2 linked regions of the Caenorhabditis elegans genome follow. The protein of the gene in region 2 interacts with the protein of the main gene of each other region in a pairwise test. Each region holds a gene or a part of one and is shown on either strand. Other genes may lie near its edges.

Region 1 (3,360 bases), on a different chromosome or scaffold from region 2:
CGAGCTGTCTCCGCCTGCTGCGAGTTAAACATAGCGGCGCGCGGAACCCGTGAAATGTCGGCGGCCTGATATTGGTTGGGGTCAAAATTTTCGCCTTTTCTCCGTGAGGGGACAAGAAAAAGGCGGGGCCTAAATATTAGGTTTTCTGCAGTACACGTCACGCAGTTTTTTATTTTGAGTGTACGGACTACGAACTTTAAAAAATTATTTTTACTAAATCGCCACTCAGGAAATCGATAATTCCTCTCTTCTGTGCATTTGGTGTTTGAAACACATTAAAAATAGCAACAAATTTATTCATCGAAGAAATATTACAAGAATATCTTTAAAAAAATCACTTTAAAACGTCGAAGGTTACATATCCATATTTCAGAACACAAGTCGCCCGTGTTCCATCAAATCGGTAGATGACTCTTTTGACTTTCATAAATCCCCAATTCCATTGTATTACACTTTTGACATTCTCTTCCTTATACTTTACGTCTTTGAAAATCTCATCCGCACTCGCCTCAGATCCCACATGGCAGCGTAGGCTTTTAAGAGACTTGTACTCTCCTCTCATCCAGCGTTTTAAAAATAAGTTCAAATCCCTTGAACTCATTTTTTGGTTTACATGTAGGTGCTCACAGGAAAAATCAGTGGAGGGAATTAAAAGATTCAATTGAATTCGGTGTGCGCTTAATATCGGATGATACCAAGTGGATTTCGAAAGAAATAGTTGAAGAAAACAGCTGGAAAACTGGTTAACAATTCTCTGGAGCCAGATGTTCTGAGAATGGACTTCCAGAGATGTCCTAGAGCAGTTCACGCCGTCAAGAGCTTTATGTATGGATTTCCAGTCGTGATTGTCGTTGCTAATAAGCAAATGACTGACTTCATTTGTGTGAAACACACATTGAATATGATCTATAAGAGTTCTTAAATCGACTTCCAATGGGTTCCATTTGATTCTGAAAACATATCATTAGCTAGGTTGAGTATTTTTGGAAGTTAATATAAGTTAATTTAAAAAAAAAACTCACAAGTCACACTCCACATTTACACTAACAATTTCGTCGATGTCAATCGAATAAATGTCTTGTTCGAGGTTCAACGATTCTGCAGCCCGTTTTGTAGATTTGGATACCAGAGAGAACTTGATTCTATAATTGAAAATGTTTACCGTATTAAATTGTAGTTATACGCCTTACATTTCCTCTGGAGTCAGACAGCAAATTGCATGTTTCAGAGACTTTGCAGGGAGATGGAGAATTGGGAAGGAGGTGGTAGTAGTCATTATGGTGGACAAAAGGTAATAATGAATGTGCCTAGATAAAAATGCACACAAAAGAGTAATTATCGATTTTCTATATACATGGCAAGTGGGAAGTGACCGAATTGTTGGAGTCTAGGAGGTGACGTCATATAATCGATAATGAATTCTTTTGTGGAAAGGAAAAAAAAATACGAAGGTGGCAACAGGATAGGAGATTGATTGAATATATATGGCCAAGCGTTCGAATATCGATACTCATTCTCTTGTTCTCATTTATGTATAGAGATAGTCGAAAGGACCCTTGGTCTTTGGGGAGTGTTTTGAAGTGCTCACAGTCAGTCAAAATCGACAGCTGTGAGATCGCCACGTAGAAAATCAAGTCTTCCACCATTCATTATTATTTCTCTCTCTCTCTTACATGACTACCTTCGCCTCTTTCCCGATCCTCCAACTACCTGAGAAATCTCTCAGAATAGCGATTCAAAGTCTGACTTTAGAACAAATGTAAGAGCTCTTTTATATTTCAATTAAAAACTGTTCTTTTCAGAATAAAGTTCTCCCTCATTTCAAAATCTACAAAACGGACAGCAGAATCATTGAATCTTCAGACTGACCCCTTTTGGCTTTACATTAATGAAAGTGTTTATATATTAGTTCAAGCCAAGTTAAAGTAAGTTAAACCACATTGTAACATGTTTACTGACTATTTCTTGCAGTATAAGTCCTTATTATCATTTTATTCCTTGGAATCCCCTGGAAGTTGATCTGAGAACATTTCTGGATCATTCTCAGTGTGTACTCCATACGGATAAAGTTGAGTATTTTATGGTCAGCAGTGATGATTACGATTGGAAGTCAATTTATGAAGCTCTTAACGACTTGGAAATTCCTAGAACTACCCTAGAATGTGTCTCTACAAATGTTTGGCTCCACAAGCTTTTCAATAAGGTTTCCAGTGGCTCCCTTGAAATCACTCTTCCGGATTTCAAAGGGTACCGCTCAATGTTGAGCTCACACTGCCAGAATTTGACTGTTGCCTCCGGGCTCACTGATCTTCTGAGTGTCAACTGTGCACACTTAGAAGTGATGCTGCGCATGAGTTCAAATGAAATAAACATATTCCTAAAGCATTGGATAAACGGAGGATTTTATGGACTCGAATCTGCTCTTTTCAAAGTACCAAGAAACCGTGTGGATAAAGTTTTTAAGGGTGTGAACCACAAAGATACATGTGCAGAGGACTTAGACAATCTTCCACGGAGATCGTATAAAATTCAATGCGCAAAAGATATCTACAGATGTGATGGAAGACGGGCAACTGTTGTCATTGATATTGATAATTTGACAATGCACGTTTGGAAATAATTTGTTTTTTTTTCACTTTAATTATGATCATTTTTTGAATTTGCTGACCAACTTTAATTATGATATACATACTTAAATATGTAATTATTAAAGACCATAATCAAACAATTCCATTCCTGCTGTTTGTGCTACACAATTTTCTGAAAACATCCGCTTCTAAAACTTTTTCAAAACTGTACTTGTATGATATTTTTACGATGAATAAATGTTTTATGCAATTACAATTCATATATATTGGGGTAAAAACTTATTTTATGTGGCTAGCTGATTCATAAACTGATTTCGTGTTTTTTAAAGATTCGGAGATTAGGGAGAAATTGATTCTAAAATATGGCAGTTTGTCATTTGATATTAAAATTAGATATAAAAAGCCAACTATGTGAGCCAATTCTGTGAGCTTACTACCCTCAATCTTTTTTATTTATTTTATTCTTCCCATTTTTTCATCAGTTAGCACTTAGACTCGAACCCGAGATAATTTACTCTTTACTCAACTTAAGCCTCTTAACCGTTACACTAAAGCGACACTAGAATACTAGCATTCATTTGATTCTTTTATTCGGCACTCTTCAAGACGCAAATGATTTTTCGCAAGATGGAAATGATAGATAACAGAGGTTCGACGAAGAGATATCTCTAAAAAGAAGCTTAGCCGTCACAACCATTCGCCCTCTGATGTTATTATAGTTTCTGTAGTTTTTTCCGTTTTTATTAACTGAAAAACAAGAACATGTTCAAAT
Region 2 (3,757 bases):
TTCATGACCACTCGGAGAGCAGGGAACTTGAGCTTGATAACTGACATTGAAGAATTTCTTGGCAGACCAAACCACGGATAAGCAATCCTATCTTCTGTCCACGTGCGCTTTGCCAAATAATCACCATAACCATATTATTGATTTTCAGAAGTTTCATAAAAAACTAGAGCACTTTCAAGTGTATATGGGTAATGAAGCACCCCACTAACTGTAAGGCAACGTTGAGGGTTCTCCGTACAATTGAATAGTAGAATTTGATACGTCAGAAGAAGGTAGGTACATAACATGGAAGTTATGCTGTCTGAAAACTAACATTTTGTCTGAAAATGTTTTGATTTTATTTTAAAAAACGTGTTGATACATACCTCAATTCCACCAAATCCTCTTGCATTCTGCCATGCAAACATATCAACATCCCACAAGTTTATGAACTTCTAAATACGAGTTTCCAGAACCAATCTCACGATGAGCCCTCAAAGTTTCTGAAGATAAAACTGTGAAGAAACTCTTAGTTACCAACTTTCCAGAATTTTCAAAATATTTTTTTGTAAAAACTATAACAATCAAATTGTTTACTACTCCAAATACAATAGATTCTGTATATTTTGCAGTGAGATGAAATTAGAAAAATCCTAAAGCATCAGTTCCATTTCGTTTTTTGATCAAACAACACATTATCAAAATCATCAGTCGGAATTTTTTCAGATGGATTAATCCAGAAGTTTCAAGAACCACGCCATCTGCTTACAATTTTGTTCTACGAATCAGTAAAAACCATTTTTCAAAATTTTCATTTTTATGAAAGAAGGTGTTTTCCAGGATTCAATCTTGGCATTACTGTAACGAATTATACTTTTGTTTGAAAACATGTTCAAATTATACTAATGATTTTTAGAATACAAGTATTTCAGCAACCTTTTCGCCGAAAAAACGCTTTTAACAAAATATATTTGGCAACTTTTGATAAAATCCTCTTTTGAAGTTACGAACATTATTGAATTCCACCACACATTTGTTTTGGTGAATTCTGAAAAAAAAATCGAATAAGATGAGTTTCAAAATAATTTTGCGGCCTTACTGTACTCAACAGTACTCATATCAATAACATATACAACATCACATATACAGTCTACAGTACTCATGTAGTACTTCTCCAGTGATTCAGCGGTTTAAAAAAAGTCTCACTATCCCAAACACCAACTTGAATCCCCCTTCTTCAACTGCTCTTCATGCCTTCCACTGCTTCTGATCATATCAATTGCTCTTCCAGAGACCTTTGGGCTCCTTGGGTCGGCACCGGACTGGTACCGCTGCCAGTAACACACAAAAAATGGACGCGGCCGAGGGCAGCAGAAAAAGTGCAGAAAGAGCAAGTAAAGCGAAGAGAGTGTAGACGCACTTTTTGTGCAGCAACACTGCCGTCGCCCCCAGGCAGTGCCAGCCATTTTTTCCCTCATGCGTCCCCCCGTGGTCTGTGGGGGTCACTTGCGCCCCCCCGGGCAATTCTGCCCTGGGTGTCCGCGACCGGTACCACCGCCGCTGAGAAGACGCCGCGCCACTGCTGATATCACTGAATGAGAAATAGTATGGAGAAGATGAGAGATTGCAGAGAGAATATAGAGTGTGGCTGCACTATTCTGGCTCTGTCTGTTCCTCTGTTCCTCTCGATTTCTCAATGCCTTTGCTTTTTTTTCAACGCACGCGTGTTCCCCCCTCCAGTTGACCTATGTTCTCTTAATTTTTTTCCTTTTTTTCTAGCGTTGCATATTATCAGTTATCACCTCCACCTCTATCCAACCACTTTTTTATTATAGACCCCGGCCTCACTGTTCCACAGCCTCCTGACCCGGTCGTGCCCGGACCTTGTGCGGCGCCAGACGCGAATGATATTCGGAGACACGGGCTGAATGGTTTCGTCGGTAGAGAACCACGTCATCCCGTTTTCGTCGTCTGCGGAGTTAGAACTGTATCAGGTAAGGTTTTTAGTTTTTTCTTTTTTTAACTATCAAATTGACTGAAATGAGAAAAGAACGGAAGGCAGGCAGGTCTCAGGCATGCACCAGGATCTGAAAACGCGCCTGCCTTCCACCAAAGCCTTAGTTTTGATTTGTTTGACTAGGAGGTCTAGAGTTCAGAAACTAACTATAAGGCCTCCGTGTCAGGAGTGTGGCAAATTTGACAATGGACTTTTTTAGTATTTGCCGAGCACGGCAAATTTGGCAAAATCAGCTAATCCACATTTTTAAAATTTGTCGGCTCGGCAAATTCGGCAAACGACAAACTCGGCGAATTTGACGCACACCCCTGATGTAGTACTTGCCGAATCGACCGAGCTCGGACAGTTTCCAGAATTGCCGGAGATCACTAGTTTCGTCCGTTGGGAGATACTGTAACTTCTAGATTATTAGTTATGAATGTCACTCTTCACTTTATGTCTATTTTCTCCATTTCTCCCATTTTTTTCTCGAACCTCCCACCTATTCCCCGTTGTGTCCCATCCGCCTGTTCGTCGTCGACCTTCTCTCCCTTCATCGCTTCCCAATTTTTTTTCTGTTCACCTCATACTGCGCGCATCTCCTCCCATGTCTACACTATTTTCATCAATTCATGGACATGTGCAGACAATTTCATGGGGGCTTTTTTTGCTAGAAGAATGAGCGTGCGCGCGCCAGCCTCGAAAAGGACGTTTTCGGAGCGGTTTTTCAGTTGGAAAAAGCGATGGAACGAGGTGAAGAAGAGGTCAAACAGATGGTGGTACTGTTGGATGAGAACAGCTGAATTGGAAGAAGGAGGAGGAGCTTGAGTTTTGATTAGTATGCTCTTATAGCTTCTAGACATCTATTTGTCCAAACAGGAAGAAAACTATCCGCCTAAATATTTTATCATATCGGTAAGAAACACCAAAACTTGAAAGTATTTCTGTTAGTCAGAAGTTAATAGATATAGGAGATAAGCTACCAAAATCTCTCTGAAGTCTGACCCCGATTACTGTAAATTTTGAACTTTCGTATCCCCAGACATCCACTTGTCAACAAAGGTCACTTTTTTGTCCCGTTCCTCCCAAGCCCATCCTGTGTATACACACACACAGTCACCTCAATCGTTCGCATAGTAAACCGAACATTTCAAATAATAATCGAACGACGCCTCTTTGGTTTTTTCATCGGTTCTTTTTCTCTCTAAATCTCCCCCGATTCCCGTACTATTCCCTCCCTCCTATTTCTCCATTCTCACCTCCCGGTCCGTCCCGCGTCCGAACGACCGAAGAAGCCCAGTGGCGAGAGACGTTTTTTGTAGGATTGTCTCTGTGTCTCTATGTTTTAAACGCTTTTTCTCGCCCAATGGTTTGCCGGTTTTTCTATGTTTCTTGTGTCGTCGTTTGCGTCCGGGCGCGCCGCCGAGTTTTTTTGACCTATAGTTAGATGTATGGGTGCACTCTTAGTTTAAGACACTATTTCGTCAGGGATGTAGATAGGCGGACGCTGGGGTTTTTTGAACAGGGATCGGGGGCCATACCACTCTCTTTTCTGTGTCGATATGTTCCCATTTTCTTCTCTTCTTCACTCTATTCTAACCTTTTTTGCAAACCTTTTTTATGACTTCGATAGGGAACCTACAGTGTTGTAAAGCAGTTAATACAGTAGTTCAGCATTTTTCAATTAATTTTCATTCTGGGAAAAATATAAATCAGCTTACAATATTTAATTTCTAGTAGTTTACACGTACCTTCTAATAATTGTTTGATATTTTCTCTTTA

What was found.
Region 1: the proteins of mab-10 (region 2) and fbxb-61 interact in a two-hybrid assay, tested with the Caenorhabditis elegans proteins (one large-scale study listed by BioGRID).

Annotation. Positions count from the first base shown.
Region 1 is NC_003283.11:19,302,453-19,305,812, forward strand, and holds fbxb-61 (F-box domain-containing protein), read left to right. Parts: upstream 1-1,671; 5' UTR 1,672-1,673; coding exon 1,674-1,759; intron 1,760-1,802; coding exon 1,803-1,925; intron 1,926-1,971; coding exon 1,972-2,620; 3' UTR 2,621-2,838; downstream 2,839-3,360. Other genes in the region: fbxb-63 (F-box domain-containing protein), read right to left, coding at 335-950, 1,023-1,142, 1,191-1,276.
Region 2 is NC_003280.10:10,526,275-10,530,031, forward strand, and holds the start of mab-10 (NAB transcription cofactor mab-10), read left to right. Parts: upstream 1-1,809; 5' UTR 1,810-1,973; intron 1,974-3,098; exon of another isoform or gene 3,099-3,524; intron 3,525-3,757. UniProt on the Caenorhabditis elegans protein: Transcriptional cofactor. Heterochronic protein, involved in timing of a subset of differentiation events during the larval-to-adult transition.